Oryctolagus cuniculus: one gene and its partners. The protein of the gene in region 3 interacts with the protein of the main gene of each other region in a biochemical or structural test. Links are inferred from orthologs where the notes say so. Each region holds a gene or a part of one and is shown on either strand. Other genes may lie near its edges.

What was found. The genes of interacting proteins can lie anywhere in the genome.
Region 1: the proteins of PML (region 3) and CREBBP form a complex in vitro, tested with the Homo sapiens proteins (2 studies listed by BioGRID). The link is inferred for Oryctolagus cuniculus from reciprocal best matches to the Homo sapiens genes PML and CREBBP.
Region 2: of the proteins of PML (region 3) and HIPK2, one has a biochemical effect on the other in vitro, tested with the Homo sapiens proteins (2 studies listed by BioGRID). The link is inferred for Oryctolagus cuniculus from reciprocal best matches to the Homo sapiens genes PML and HIPK2.

What each region holds. Positions count from the first base shown.
Region 1 is NC_091450.1:31,795,383-31,800,063, forward strand, and holds part of CREBBP (CREB-binding protein), read left to right. Parts: intron 1-2,103; coding exon 2,104-2,265; intron 2,266-2,406; coding exon 2,407-2,688; intron 2,689-3,984; coding exon 3,985-4,681. UniProt on the Homo sapiens protein: Acetylates histones, giving a specific tag for transcriptional activation. Mediates acetylation of histone H3 at 'Lys-18' and 'Lys-27' (H3K18ac and H3K27ac, respectively).
Region 2 is NC_091434.1:184,332,741-184,337,825, forward strand, and holds part of HIPK2 (homeodomain-interacting protein kinase 2), read left to right. Parts: intron 1-2,531; coding exon 2,532-3,615; intron 3,616-5,085.
Region 3 is NC_091443.1:109,460,945-109,467,306, reverse strand, and holds part of PML (protein PML), read left to right. Parts: intron 1-1,464; coding exon 1,465-2,045; intron 2,046-2,911; coding exon 2,912-2,982; intron 2,983-6,362.

The DNA of each region.
Region 1 (4,681 bases), on a different chromosome or scaffold from region 3:
CCAGTGCCTTGTGAGCCCTGAAGGTCATCTCTGAGGGTGGCCCAGCTCTGGGCCTCGAGTGATCTCAACCAGTGCACAGAGCCCTTGGGCGCCTCTGAGGGCGGGCAGACCTACCTCTGACGGGGTGAGGCTGGGCCGTCCACAGCGTCCAGGTGGATGAGGGGCTCATGCTGGAGCCAGCCTTGGCCACTGGTGGCCCAGGACTTGGTGGGGGCGGGGGCCAGAACTCTGAGGTTTGGGGATGGACTCACCATCGTGTGGGCAGCTCCCAGGTGCTGTGGTGAGGACATACCACCATGGCCACGCCCAGGGCTTGCGGGCGTTCGCCTCCATTCCAGCCCACACTGGGGCCGCAGTGCTGCCCCGCCGTAAGCAGCCACACTTCCAAGGCACAGCAGCAGCGGACGCCTGCCGTGGCGTCACCAGTGGGAACGAGATGTAGCTGGCTGCTTGTGCTCCCAGTCTGGTGAAGAATTACCTGCACAAGAGACTGAGTGCATAGGTGAAGAGAAAAATGAAATGTGATTGCTCTGAAGGGCAAAAATTTTATTATTATTTAGCCGATTTTTTTTTTATGGTAAAAAATTTATTTGAAAGGGAGAGAACAAAAGGGAGATCTTCCATCCATTGGTTCACTTTCCAAATGGCTGCAACAGCCAAGGCCAGGCCAGGCCAGGCCAAAGCCAGGAGCTTCATCTGGGTCTTCCATATGGGTGGCAGGGACACCAAGCACTTGGGCCATCTTGCGCTGCTTTTCCTAGGTCCATTAGTAGGGAGCTGGATTGAGAGTGGAGCAGCCAGGACACAGTCTTGAGCCCATACAGGATGCTGGTGTCGCAGGTGGCAGCTTAACCCAGTGCACCATAATGCTGGCCCCTACTTTTTTTAAGATTATTTATTTTTAAAGAATTACAGAGAGGGAACGACACAAAGTGATCTTCTATCCACTGGTTGATTATTTATTTTGAAAGAGTTACACAGAGAGGGAGAGACACTGAGATCAGTCTCTCCATTGGTTCACTCCCCAGATGTTTGCAAGGGCCCCAAGCCTGAGCCAGACCAAAGCCAAGAGCCAGAAGCTTCATCCAGGTTTCCCATATGGGTGGCAGGGGCCTACATAGTTGGGCCATCTTCTCATGCCTTCCTGGTTGCATTAGCAGGTAGCTAGATTCAAAGTGGAGCAGCCGGGATTCAAGACAGCACCCATGTGAGATGCTGGCTGGCCTCACAGGTGGCTACTTTACCCACTGTGTCACAATGCTGGGCCCCCAGCCATACTCTCCCTAAATGTTAAGCAGTGAACACGTTGAATAATATCTTTTGAAAATAGACTTTGTGTTTGAGAGATTTAAGGCTTTTAGAAAAATTGAACAGAGAATTCCAGCAAAACCGGCGCACCTCCCATTAGTGGGGTGCATCTGTTGCATTTAACTGAAGTTCAGACTTTATTCAGATTTCCCCAGTAAACCTTTTCTGTCCCAGGGTGCCAGCGAAGCCACATAACTTTGTCATGCCCCTTCAGCACATCTTGGCACCCACAGTGTCTCTTGTGGGTCTGCATTCTCCTGCTAAAAACCACGCTGTCAGCACCAGGGCCGCCTGCCTTTCCCGTCGTGAGGTGTAAAGTTGTCTGCAGGACAGGAACACTGAACTGAGAAGCACGACCCTCTCATTTACCTGCAGCCACCAACTGCAGTCCAAGCAGGCCTGGCAGGGGGTAGCCGGGTCCGGGAGGCAGTCCTGCGTCCCTAGGGCCACTAGTATCTTTCATGTGCGTCTCACAAAAAAACACCGTGGGTGTTTGGAGCCCTTCTCAAGGCAAAGAACAAGATGTCGTGCCTGTGAGATGTGACACGGAACTCCGAGTGTCCAGTAGAATAGTGAGGCATCATGGGAAACGGCTTCCACGGGCCCTCGCTCCTCAGGTTTCTGAGCTGGTGTGCTGGGTCTGCAGGGGCAGGCCAGGCTCCGCTTCCGTCCTTGCCGCTCTCTCCTCTCTCTTCCTAAGGACGCTGCGTGTTCAGGGCCCGTGTGCTGGTGGGGTCGGCTGCAGGCCCCTGCGAGGCTGGGCGGCCTGACGTGACGGCTCTGCGTGTGTTGCAGGGCAGTCAGGGCGACAGCAAGAACGCCAAGAAGAAGAACAACAAGAAAACCAACAAGAATAAGAGCAGCATCAGCCGTGCCAACAAGAAGAAACCCAGCGTGCCCAGCGTGTCCAACGACCTGTCCCAGAAGCTGTATGCCACCATGGAGAAGCATAAGGAGGTAGAGCTGCCAGCACAGGGGGTGGCACGGGACACGTGTGCTTGGCAGCCGGAGCTTGTGGGTTTGGTGATGCCGCGCCATGGTGTGCCGGTGGCGGGTGGGCTGTGCGCTCTCCGGGGCTAATGCTGCTCCTCTCCCCAGGTCTTCTTTGTGATCCACCTGCACGCAGGGCCTGTTATCAACACCCTGCCCCCCATCGTCGACCCAGACCCGCTGCTCAGCTGTGACCTCATGGACGGGCGCGACGCCTTCCTCACGCTGGCCAGGGACAAGCACTGGGAGTTCTCCTCACTGCGCCGCTCCAAGTGGTCCACGCTGTGCATGCTGGTGGAGCTGCACACCCAGGGCCAGGACCGCTTTGTCTACACCTGTAACGAGTGCAAGCACCACGTGGAGACACGCTGGCACTGCACGGTGTGCGAGGTGGGTCTGCCCGGCAGCCAGGGCCAGGATCTGGCAGGGCTGTCGTGGGTTTGGATGTGGCCTTGGCATCTCTGTGCAGTGGCATTGGTGCTGGCTCAGGGTGAGGAGAGGAGCACGAGGCCGAAGGCTTTGTTGCTTTCTCCCTGGTGTTTCTGTGTCGGGCGCAGACCGTGCAGTGCTGAGGAAGCCTGCCTGGAGAGCCGGAGGGAGGCTCAGGGCAGACAGGCACAGACACCTGCTCCTGCTCCCGCGTGCTCCGGGGCTGGTCTAGCTGAGGATTTCGGATGCCCTCGACCCTTTGTTGTCCCGGCCCCTCACTGTTCCTAATGGGCCCCGTACACGTCTCACAGGCCTTCCTCTGCAGGTTTGGGCCTTGATGTGGAGTCGCCCGCGGGTGGGTTGTTGGGCACAGTGTGACCCTTCGCCTCTTCCACAGGGCAAGTCGTCGGGCCTGCCCTTGACCCCTCCTTCCTCCCAGGACAGTCCGTAGTCACCGCCGACCAGGGCTGCTTGCTCTGCGCTCTGCCACAGGCGGTCGCCATGCATGTCCCAGACCTCTCTGCTCCCCTCCGCTGCCTGCCTTCTTTCCCCCAGCCTCCTGCAGGCTCTTTGTCCTCCTTTTTGGGTGTTTTTTTGTAAGATTTGTTCACCTACTTGAAAGGCAGACCTGAGAGGGGACATCTTCCATCCGCTGGTTCACCCCTCAAATGTTGCAGCAGCCGGGGCTGCTCCAGGTGCAGCCAGGACCCAGGAATCCAGGTCTCATGTTGGGGGCAGGGATGCTTGGGCAATCTGCTGCTACTTCCCCAGGCACCTGAGCAAGCAGAGATCATCAGACCCGGGCCGACACGGGATGCTGACGTCGCCGGTGGCCACTCTCCGTGCTTGGCTGCAGCACTGCCCCCACTCCTGAGCCCTCACTGCTGTCGTGTTCTTCCGGGGCTCACCATTAGTCGGCCTGGGCGCAGGGCTCCGATGTGGGGGACGTGTGTCTGCCTCCTGCTTTCCAGCTGTAGGCAGCTCTGTCCCCAGGACTTGCTTCTTGGGAAAGCCTGTGTGGTGCCTTCCCCTGGGGAGATGCCCATGGTATCTGCTGGCCCTTGGGTGGCACCTCTCGCCCTCACACTGTTGGCCTTCGTGGCTGGGTGTGGCAGAGTCCTGATGCGATTGCGGGAGAGAGAGGAGGGAGGGGAGCCAGCGTCCCTGCCTGGGTCCTCGGGCAGACGGTCCTGTGTGTTAGCGTGCACGCCCCCAGCCCGAGGGGGCGGCCTTGCTGACCACTCTCTTTGCTTGCAGGACTATGACCTGTGCATCAACTGCTACAACACGAAGAGCCACACGCACAAGATGGTGAAGTGGGGGCTGGGCCTGGACGACGAGGGCAGCAGCCAGGGCGAGCCGCAGTCCAAGAGCCCCCAGGAGTCGCGGCGCCTGAGCATCCAGCGCTGCATCCAGTCCCTGGTGCACGCCTGCCAGTGCCGCAACGCCAACTGCTCGCTGCCGTCCTGCCAGAAGATGAAGCGGGTGGTGCAGCACACCAAGGGCTGCAAGCGGAAGACCAACGGCGGCTGCCCGGTGTGCAAGCAGCTCATCGCCCTGTGCTGCTACCACGCCAAGCACTGCCAGGAGAACAAGTGCCCCGTGCCCTTCTGCCTCAACATCAAACACAAGCTTCGCCAGCAGCAGATCCAGCACCGGCTGCAGCAGGCCCAGCTCATGCGCCGGCGGATGGCCACCATGAACACCCGCAACGTGCCTCAGCAGAGTTTGCCTTCTCCTACCTCAGCTCCGCCCGGGACCCCCACGCAGCAGCCCGGCACGCCCCAGACGCCGCAGCCCCCTGCCCAGCCCCAGCCTTCACCCGTGAGCATGTCACCAGCCGGCTTCCCCAGTGTGGCCCGGACTCAGCCCCCCACGACTGTGTCCGCAGGGAAGCCCACCAACCAGGTGCCGGCTGCCCCGCCCCCTGCCCAGCCCCCACCCGCGGCGGTGG
Region 2 (5,085 bases), on a different chromosome or scaffold from region 3:
AGAAACAATGAGTTGGGTGCAGGAGACATGTTGGAGGAGGAGAGATTATGAGTGCCTCATATCTTCCTGTTCATGGAGGAAAAGAATCCTCCAAGGTCTGGGAACCAAACGGCCAGTAGAATATTTTATGAACAGATATGGAGGTGTCAGGAAGGAGGGTGAGGTGGCTGGATTTTTAGGAAAGGATAAGGAGGTCACTGGGGAAGATCATTTTTACGTAGTGGGAGGCAAAACTGTATCGCTGGAACTATGAGGGAGAACCCAACCTGTGATAAATACGTGGGAGTTGCCTGCGTGGAGATGATGGCTTAAACTGTTTGGATGGGTGGTGTATTGCCGGGAGAAGAGAGTCCAAATGTGGTAAATGCAAACACTTTACAGGAAGAAGAGGAAGAGGAACCGCCCCCACCCCCAAGCACAGTGGGAGGAAGAGATTGCAGAGAATCCTGATAAGAGCTTCTAGAAGGAAGTCGTGGTTGCAGTGTCAGATGTCACAGAGACAATGATAGAGGCTGAAACGGCCAGTGGATTGGTCTGCTAGAAAGTCATCTACCTCTAAGAGTGCAGGCCTCGGGCCAGCGTTGGGTGTAGTGGGTAAGGCTGCTGCCTGCAATGCTGGCATCCCATCTGGGCGCTGGTTCAAGCCCCGGCCGCTCCACTTCTATTCCAGCTCCCTGCTAATGCCCTGGGAAAGCAGTGGAAGACGGCCCAAGCGTTTGGGCCCTGCACCCACGTGGGAGACCCAGAAGAAGCTCCTGGCTCCTGATTTCAGTCTGGCCATTTGGGGAGTGAACCAATGGATGGACCATCTCTCTCTCGCTGTCTCTTCCTCTCTCTGTGTAACTCTGACTCTCAAATAAATAAGCAAATCTTTATTAAAAAATTACAGTCGTATAGTGTTTGAAAGTGAATGGGAAGATTACTAAGTGAACACTTAAGAAAAGGGAGGGTCAAGCGCGGATTACGGGGAGAAGAAGGGGAGAGTGGGGGGCGGCCGTCGCTCCTCCTGCCCTCCAGCTGGGAGTCTGTGTGTGCACAGCAGGACTGGCCGACCTGCAGGAAGTGTCTGCTAAGGACTGGCTCCAGTTAAGCAGGGAAACTGAAAGCTGCAAGGGAAAGTGCTGGACACAGAGTTCGAGAGGAAACGGGGGACCGTGGGCCTCCAGAAAGGGCAGTTTCCATGTTGGAGGACAGACACCCCTTCCTCTGAGACGGGGGAGAGGGGCCGGGGGATGGAGAGTCGTGAGAGAACCAGGCAGGAGAGCAGAGTAAGGCGGGCCTCCAGCTTGGGAGCAAAGTGAAGGGTGGGTGCTGAGACGGGGTGAAGAGGAAGGTGTGGACCACCCACTCCGCCTGAGGCCGAGCGCTCCCAGACGCACGGGCGCCGGGTGGCTGAGCCCCAGCAGTGTCTGGCGAAGCTGCGCCCGCTCTGCTCCTCGAAGAAGCCTTTACCCACTGCAGCTACTTTTTTCTGTAAGGCTTACCCTTCCTCATCTCCTTGTTATTTTTCCTTAATTTCTTTTCTGTGGGTTTTTATGTTTCCGGTATCGCCGTGATTATAAATTGTACAACTCTTCCCAAGCAATCATCTTACAAATTTCTGAAGTTAGCTAAATTGTGGGCAAAGTGCTAATATGAAATAGTAGTACTTTCTAGAAAAATTTATCGATGTAAGAATTTAGCATGGAAAATGAGTGAATCGAGTCCATAATCTGTGCTTCCCACTCCCCGGCGAAGAGGCTGATAATCATGTTTTAGTCAATCTAAATGAAAATGTCAGACTCTTTTATTTATAATTTTTCTTTTTTTAAACTTGAGAGGCAGAGAGAGAGAAAGGAAGCTCCAGTCTGATGGTTCACTCCCCAGATGCCTGGAACCATCAGGGCTGGGCCAGGCCAAACCCGGGAGCCAGGAACTCAGGTCAGGTCCCTTACGTGGGTGGGCCAGAACCACCGCCCCCTGGGGGGTGCACCAACAGGGAGCTGAAGTTGGAAGCTGCAGGTGGGTGTTGAACCCAGGTTGGGGACGCGGGCGTCAACTGCTAAGCTGGACAGTTGCTCTGGGAACAACTGTGATAGAGCCCTGCAGAATTTGGTTAAGACGGCTCAGATGCCAGGCAGCACTTGTTCAGCCAGAAGACCAGAGGAGCCCCCCACGGGGCCACCTGACCGCTGGGGCCTGTTGACAGAACTGAGCTGGCTGACCACATGGAGTAGCTAAGCTTGTAACAGTTAACCAGGGGCCACCTGATAGCAGTTTCTTTCACAAACACTATTGATATTTAAAAAGATGAGTGGAGTCCCTGTTCTCATTCTGTGTTCCAAGCCTCCTTCCCCCTGCTGGTGGCAGGGTGACCCACACACTGAGTAACAGGTCCGCTTCTGAGTGCAGTAGATTCCTGTTCCCGGCCTTATTTTGAAGTGGGAGGGAAATGCTGTTGACTCCAGGCCATCTCAGAGCTGCAGCGGATCTCTGGGGTTTATTCATGCAGAGGTGGCTCAGAATTTATTTCTCCTCTTCTCTCCTCACAGGTATGGCCTCACATGTGCAAGTTTTCTCCCCTCACACCCTCCAATCAAGTGCCTTCTGTAGTGTGAAGAAACTCAAAGTAGAGCCGAGTTCCAGCTGGGACATGACTGGGTACGGCTCCCACAGCAGAGTGTACAGCCAGAGCAAGAACACAGCACCTTCTCAGCCAGCCACCACAACCGTCAGCACCTCCTTGCCAATCCCAAACCCCAGCCTACCTTACGAGCAGACCATCATCTTCCCAGGAAGCACCGGGCACATAGTGGTCACGTCCGCAAGCAGCACGTCTGTCCCTGGGCCCGTCCTCGGCGGACCACATAACCTGATGCGGCGCAGCACCGTCAGCCTCCTTGACACCTACCAGAAATGCGGACTCAAGCGTAAGAGCGAGGAGATCGAGAACACGAGCAGCGTGCAGATCATCGAAGAGCATCCACCCATGATTCAGAATAATGCCAGCGGGGCCACGGTCGCCACTGCCACCACGTCCACTGCCACCTCCAAGAACAGCGGCTCCAACAGCGAGGGTGACTACCAGCTGGTCCAGCATGAAGTGCTGTGCTCCATGACCAACACTTACGAGGTGTTGGAGTTCCTGGGCCGAGGGACGTTCGGGCAAGTGGTCAAGTGCTGGAAGCGGGGCACCAATGAAATCGTAGCCATCAAGATCCTCAAGAACCACCCGTCCTATGCCCGACAGGGCCAGATTGAAGTGAGCATCCTGGCCCGGCTGAGCACAGAGAGTGCCGACGACTACAACTTCGTGCGGGCCTACGAGTGCTTCCAGCACAAGAATCACACCTGCTTGGTCTTCGAGATGCTGGAGCAGAACCTCTATGACTTTCTGAAGCAGAACAAGTTCAGCCCCTTGCCCCTGAAATACATCCGCCCGGTCCTCCAGCAGGTAGCCACGGCCCTGATGAAGCTCAAGAGCCTCGGGCTCATCCACGCTGACCTCAAACCGGAGAACATCATGCTGGTGGATCCGTCCAGGCAGCCGTACAGGGTGAAGGTCATCGACTTTGGGTCAGCCAGTCACGTGTCCAAGGCCGTGTGCTCCACCTACCTGCAGTCCCGGTATTACAGGTAAGACCGCACCAAGATGACAGGGGCCGTGAGGGGCCCGGTGGTGGCCGTCACCCAGGGCGAGATAGGAGCGCGTGTGAACAGTTGCTGCCCGCCAGTGATCTTAATGCAGCTGGGAAATTATGGTCCTATTGGCGCACATTGACATGACGGTGAGGAGCCAGGTAAGAGCAGAGCCAAGGAGGAGGCTTAGTCTAGTTGTTCAGAGCTGGAAGGGATCCGTGGGAGCTGGAATGAAGGTCCAGACAAGGTGGAGGAACTGGGTCCTCACGGTGGAGAAGAGGGCGGGCCGTGCTGTCCAAAATCCTGCCGTAGGAATGTGCGAGACAGGTCAGCCACCTGCCGGCAGAGTTCTGAGGGAGGTGTGGTTGCGAGCCAGCACAGAGTGGGACCAGGTTGCTGGGGGTCTTGAGTAGCAGGCTAAAGCTTGGCAACTGTGTCCTGAGATTTGAACAGCCAAAGGTGAAGGCTGGGAAGGCTGCTCCTCTCACCTCCCGTGTGGAGGAGGCTGAGGAAGAGAGAAGTCAGGGAGCCGGCTGCTCACTCCTGTGGTGAGCAAGCCTCGGGTCTGGGCGAGGGGAGAATTGTGGAGCCTCTGGGAAGTGTGAATTAGGCAACCATTCCTCCGTACAGTCAGTCATTCAACAAGCATTTACTTCCAACCCGGCGCCGTGCTAAGTGCAGGGTCGTGGACGAGGCACTCACCGTCCTGGAGTCTCCTGCATACTGATTCTCAGCCCTGGCTGCACCTGCAAGACTCCTGGGGCGCTTCCAAAGTGCCCTCCGCAGACAGAACCCACGGGCCGGCTGAATGACCTCTACCAGCTTTCCTGGGCCCCAGGGCCAGTCAGGCTGAGAGCTGCTCTCTGCTGCCTTCCGAGTCAGGAGGACCCAGGGTTGGACCTGATTCCTCCGCTCAAAAGCTGTGTGGCTTGGGCCAGTTGCCTCATTTCCCTAGACATTCATCTCCTAACCCATGACCTGGGAGAAGCCGGCCTCTGCGCTTGCTGGGCTGATCGCTCGCCGTGGTTAACACATCGTAGGTGCTGCAAGCAGCAGCCAGCCCGAGAGGGGCACAGGGAGGAGCTGGCTGAAGACAGAGAGAGAGGTGGTTTGGGGCAATAGTGATGGGTTGTCCTTGAGGGCGCAGGGACCAGGCAAGTGGTAAGAAATGACAGACTCCTGCGAGAAGACAGCCCGATGACATGGAAGAGGTCCCTAAGACTGCTGCCTGAGACCCTCTGCCCGGGGGCTTCAAGGCCATGGAGAAAAAGCTGGAGAATGTGCTACAGCTGCGTCGACACAGCTGATCCTCACCCATTCCTGGCCCCCTGACTGCCCACAGCGCTGTCGCAAGTCTCCTCCCAGCTTCCCCCGCCTGCTGGGAAGAGCAGTGGTCACATGGCAGGAGCTGCAGGCCCCTCACCTTCCTCCCGGCCTCTGTTCGTCCTGACACTGACTCAGGATGAG
Region 3 (6,362 bases):
CACCATCGGGGGGTGGGGGGCGGGGGGCGTCAGGCTGCCCCTGGGGTCCCTGCACCTCAACAGCGGGGGGTGGGGGGCGGGGGGCGTCAGGCTGCCCCTGGGGTCCCTGCACCTCACCAGCAGGGGGCAGGGGGCGTCAGGCTGCCCCGGGGTCCCTGTACCTCACCATCGGGGGGTGGGGGGCGGGGGGCGTCAGGCTGCCCCTGGGGTCCCTGTACCTCACCAGTGGGGGGCAGGGGTCGTCAGGCTGCCCCTGGGGTCCCTGTACCTCACCATCGGGGGGTGGGGGGCGTCAGGCTGCCCTGGGGTCCCTGTACCTCACCAGTGGGGGGCAGGGGTCGTCAGGCTGCCCCTGGGGTCCCTGTACCTCACCAGTGGGGGGCAGGGGGCATCAGGCTGCCCCGGGGTCCCTGCACCTCACCATCGGGGGGTGGGGGGCGTCAGGCTGCCCTGGGGTCCCTGCACCTCACCGGGGGGCAGGGGGCATCAGGCTGCCCAGGGGTCCCTGCACCTCACTGGGGGGCAGGGGGCGTCAGGCTGCCCCTGGGGTCCCTGCACCTCACCAGCGGGGGGCAGGGGGCGTCAGGCTGCCCCGGGTCCCTGCACCTCACCAGGGGGCGGGGTTGGCGTGTTGGTTCACGTGGAGACTCCCCGCCTATTGAGACGTCAGTGACCCTGGTAGTTTGAAAACACTTTGTTCTTGAGAACAAATGATTTTTGGAGGTTTTTCAGCGGGGAGTGGGGGTAGGGGGAGAGTGAAGATGGGGGAGGGGCCCTGGGGGGCTGGGAAGCACAGGGGAAGCTCCTGGCTCCCGGCTTCGGCCTGCCCAGCCCTGGGCATTGCGGCCATCTGGGAAGTGAACCAGCAGATGGAAGACCTCTCTCTCTCCCTCTACTGCTCTGCCTTTCAGATAAATAAACCCTTAAAAATAAGTTTATTTTATAAAGGAAACATCAATTCCGCGAATTCCTTTTGTACGCATTCTCCGCGTCCTGCAGCTGGAGGCACAGGCCGCCGCAGCTTTACTCTCGTGTGCTGCTCTGGGCCCTGGCACCAGCGCCATGAACGCTGCGTCGGGAAAGCGTGAACCTGCACACCTACTATGACTCAAACTCTGGCACTTTTATCTAGGGGATTTTTTTTTTCATCTGAATGGCAGAGAGACAGGCAGACGGGGGGAGGATCTTCCGTCTGCTTCCAAAAGCCCTTAAACAGCCAGGGCTGCAAACTGCCCGGATACCCCCGTGGGGGGCAGGGACCCGATGACCTGAGCCTGCCCCTGCGACCTCCAAGGGTGCGCCTCAGCAGGAAGCTGGATGGGAGCGGAGTTGGGACTGGGACTCGGGCACTCGGATATGGGATGTAGGGGGTGAGGTGGGTCCCAACAGGTGCGCCAAACGCCAGTGGGGTCTGGCAGTTTGGGAAGAAGCCGGCGAGCCCTAACCCAGACGGTTCTCCCGCAGCATCTACTGCCGGGGCTGCCACAAGCCCCTGTGCTGCTCGTGTGCGCTCCTGGACAGCGGCCACAGCGACCTCAAGTGCGACCTGAGCGCCGAGGTGCTGCAGCGCCAGGACGAGCTGGACGCCACGGCGCGCGCGCTGCGGGAGCGCGGCGGCGCCTTCGGGGCTGCGCTCGCGCAGGTGCGCGCGGCCATCGGGCAGCTGGGCCGCGCGCGCGCCGACGCCGAGGACCTGATCCGCGAGCGCGTGCGCCAGGTGGTGGCACACGTGCAGGCGCAGGAGCGCGAGCTGCTGCAGCAGGTGCACGCGTGCTACCAGCGCGACTATGAGGAGCTGGCGGCCCGGCTGAGCCGCCTGGAAGCCGTGCTGCAGCGCATGCGCACGGGCGGCGCGCTCGTGCGGAGGATGAAGCACTACGCGTCGGACCAGGAGGTGCTGGACATGCATGGCTTCCTGCACGAGGCTCTCTGCCGCTTGCGCCAGGAGGAGCCCCAGGGCCCGCAGGCCGCCGTGCGCGCTGAGGGCTTTGACGAGTTCAAGGTGCGCCTGCAGGACCTCGTGGCGCGCGTCACCCAGGCCACAGGTGAGCACCAGGGCCACCCTCGCCGCAGCCCCCTGGGGTTTGGTCAGGGCACGGCTCATGTTAGCCCTTGAGGGGCCAGCCCCCCTGTGTGCAAGAGCAGAGAGGACCCCTGTGGTTGGGGTCAGGGCAGAAGGGAGCAGAGCGAACCTCCCTGGGCGGCTGGGTGCCGTGGCTTTGGGGAGGAATTGTCACCGCAGCAGCTCCATGAGCCTGAGACTCCCGTGGGGAGGAAGGCGGGGGGCAGGGGGACTGCACGAGGGGTCCCAGGGCTCTTTGACTGAGTCCTGAGCTGGACGTGAGCCCGAGCAGCTGGGGGAGGGGAAGAGAAGAGAGGCTGCGGGCTCTGGAGGCACCCAGGCAGGTGCCAGGGCACGAGGGCTCGCTCTCTTCTGCCGGAGCCGACGGGAGGACATGGGCTTGTGCCCCCACCACCCAGGCAAGGAGCGGACAGCCCCATGTCCAGGAAGTGACCCCACAGGGTTTGGACAGCTGCCTGGCATTGTGGCTGGGCGGTGGCGGGGAGCAGGCTTCACTCTTCGAAGCCCAAGGGATCGTGGTTGGGTTTTGTCCACCGGCTGCTGGGCAGTGCAGAGCCGTGAGTACCAGCGGCTTCAGGGCCGCCCACCCTCTGCCCTGCTGACGGCCCGGAGACGGGCAGGGGTGCCCTTGGGGTTCCAAGCCACAGGCAGGTGCACTGTGACGCCGGCTCCCTGGGCCTGCGCTCGTGCCCACTGCGGTCGGGAGGGTTGCCTCCGTGGAGGTGCCGGGGAGACGGATAAGTGTCTGGAAAGAGCACCAGACACGTCCTCTGTCTGCCCCAGCCCGAGGTGCCCCTCACCTGCCCATGATCTTCTCTGTGTCCCCAGACGCAATTCTGTCCAGGAGAACCAGCCCGCAGTCTGCCAGTACCCCCGGCGACCTGCCGCACGTGGACCTGGTGAGGGGCCCGCGGTCTGGCGGGCGGGAGGCCGCTGGCCCCGTGTCTGCGGAGGGAGGGGCTGTGTGTGGGAGGGGTGGTGCTTCCCGGGAAGCCCTTACACAGGGGTCTGCTGCTCAGGGGCCCTCGGGGCTGCCGTGGGTCCCACCTGGTGGCCGGGGGTGCACCCCGACGAACTGAGAGCTGTGTGTGTAGAACAGGTGGAGCAGGAAGTGGCCAGGGCCACACCCCGACACAGGGGGCAGGTGCCCCCCCACCCCACCTCCACATGGGAGCCTTCTCCTGGGGTCCCCTACGCAGACTCAGACCCTCCTCCTCCTCTTCCCCCACACGTGGCTCTTGGGGACATTCAGAGTGGGGCAGGTGTCCTGTCTCTGTCCCAGCAGCTGGAGTCTCCCGGCTGATTCCGGGGCCTCTGGGGGCTGGCCGGCCCCCTGCTCCTCCCTCTGCGGAGTCTGGAGGTACCCCCCTGCCCTGCACACCTGCACCTCCGGGCACGGGAAGCCTCTACATCTCAGTTGCCCCCACACAAACGCCCCTACCTGATGGGAAGGCCCCAGCGGCCCTGGGACTCGTCCCCTGTGCAGGAAATGGCCTTCGGTCCTCCCAGCCTGGCACTCAGGTTTGCTGAAGGCCTGCAGGGAGGCACAGCAGGTGGCTGGACCGGAGCTAGCCGTGCCAGCCTGGGGCTGGCCAGTCCTCCGAGGAGGGCAGGTCTTCTGGTCGGCAGGCAGGGTCAGGGCTATCGGCTGAGGCAATCTGGAGAGGCTTCCTGGAGGAGGAGGAAGCGCCTGGCATCTGAAAGTTTTAGAGCGAGCAGAGAGGGTAGACTCTTAACTGCCCCCTTCACAGAGGCTGAAGGAAGGCCCAGAGAGGGCTGTGGTGGACCCTGGCCCCACCTGGTTACTTGGGGATGGGGCAAAAGGCAAACCCTTGAGCACCTTGGTCCTGCAGCCCTGTGTGCACCATTTCAAAAGTAGGGAAAGAGGGCATTTTATTTATTCTTTAAGGTATTTATTTTAAAGATTTATTTATTTGAAAGGCAGAGCAACAGAGAGAGAGAGAGAAAGAGAGGGAGAGACAGAGAAATCTTCCATCCACTGGTTCACTCCCCAAATGGCCACAACAGCCAGGGCTGGGCCAGGCTGATGCCAGGAGCTTCTTCCTGGTCTCCCATGGGGTGCAGGGCCCAAGCACTTGGGCCATCCTCCACTGCCTTCCCGGGCCACAGCAGAGAGCTGCATCAGGAAGTGGAGCAGCCGGGACTTGAACCAGCGCCCATACGGGATGCCGGGTGTTCAGCCATCTGTGCCGTGACGCCAGCTCCCTGTTTTGTTTTTGATACGATCGCGTGGTCAGCAATGAGACCGTGGACCCCGGGTGTCACCCACCCGGCCCCCACTTGTGCCCGTGCCCCTCTTCCTCTCTTTAGTCGTTTTATCTGTACCCTCTGGCAGCTCCTCAGGTCCCTGCGAGCAAGCAGACAGCAGAGACTGGTTCTCCCTCCCTGTTTCCGCACCCACTCTCATGGTCCCATACACACATGCAGTGCCCTGGGCCCTCCTCCAGCCTTGTGTCCGGTCGGGGCCGCAGTGTTGGGATCGCTCTTGGCCAGTGCGTGGTGTGCGTCACGTGCCGGCTCCCTGCCCCTGCAGGCTCAGGTGGACAGATCTGCCAGGAAGCGCCATCGAGCAGTAACGGGAAGGGCGGGCCTGGGTGCCCCTGCTCGGCTGTCTTTCTCCCTTGCTGCTGCTGGGCGAGCGGCCGTCTCGGGGGCAGGCGCGGGCTGAGATGGCCTCTGGCCTCTGGCGGGAGCTGATGCAGGCTGAGCTGGCAGCCGCAGGCGGGGCTGTCTTTGCAAGGCCTCTTGCTTTGCCTGCAGGTGGCTGCGGGTGACTGAGCGCGCGCAAGGGCGGGCAAGGCAGGCACCGGCGGGCGGCCCCAGGCGGCAGGAGCTGCGTGCCTGCCTTAGGAGGCGGAAGTTGGGTTCTGGCTCCACCCGCTAGAACGGGCTGGCTTGGTTGCTTGTGTTGGGACTGTGGGCCCAAGGTGGAAGACAGACCCCCGGGAGGACCCCGAGAGTCCCCCGACCAGGAGAGCAGGGGCAAGCAGCGGCTCGTGGTCTCCTTCCTCTGCCTCCCTCTGCCTGTTGTGACGGCACAGAAGTGGAACAGAGAAACAGACATTAAGACAGACTGTTTAAAGCTCAGAGCAGCCTGGTGTTGTGGCTGGTGTTGTGGCACAGCCGGTAAAGCCGCCACCTGCGGCGCTGGCATCCCGTATGGGCGCTGTTTCCTGTCCCGGCTGCTCCACTTCCCATCCAGCTCTCTGCTGTGGCCTGGGAAGGCAGTGGAGGGTGGCCCAAGTCCTGGTGCCCCTGAGTCCATGTGGGAGACCTGACGGGGCTCCTGACTCCTGGCTTTGGCCTGGCCCGGTGCTGGCTGTGGCGACTTCTGGGGAGTGAAGCAGCAGATGGAAGACCTCTGCCCGCTGCCAGTAACTTTGACTTTCAAAGAAACAAAAAATATCTTAAAAAAAAAAAAAAACAGCCGTGAGCTAGCGACCACCACCCCAGGCAGCTGGCAGGGGGCACTGGCCCGGGAGCACCCCCACGTACCAGCCCTCCACGCTCAGCAGTTTCCTGCAGAGGCCGGGGGTCAGGCGGACAGGCTCGGGGGCCCAGGAAAGCTGACAGGGACGGGAGTTTCCGTTAGGAGACCCTGGCTCCTCACCTGGCCGGGGCCCCCAGCCCCATCCCATGTGTCGCCTCCACGGCGCCCCCTTTCCGTGAGCCTCAGATGGCAATAATGAGAGCAGGTTGCCTGCGTTTTCCGCCATAATTTGAAAAGTGTGGTGTGGGGCCAGTGCCTGCAGCGCCGGCATCCCCTGTGGGCGCCGGTTCTAGTCCTGGCTGCCCCTGTCTCTCCCTCTGTCTGTAACTCTACCTCTCAGATACATAAATAAAATCTCGAAAAAAAAAAATGGTGGTGGAATCCATGTAGCCTGGAACTTACCACTGCGTGCACTCACAAGCCTGTAGAGCCATGCCATCTGTGTGCTTCTGGAATGTTTCCACCCCCCCCCCAGGGAAACCCCCACCCGAGAAGCGGCCAGGCCCCACGCACCCCTCACGCAGCTCGGCTTCCTGCCTGCTTCTGTGTCTGCAGCGCCTTGCTCTCTGTGCGCGGGCCGAGCAGTAATGAACACCGTGTGTGCCTCCACTCCTCGCCGCCTGCGTCGACGGCACGGATTCGGGCCGTGTGCATGTGCCTTTGCATAATTATTTTTTTAATTTATTCATGAGAGAGGGAGAGAGAGATCTTCCATCTCCTAATTCTCTCCCCAAATGCTTGCAACAGCTGGGCCAGGCCAAAGCCAGG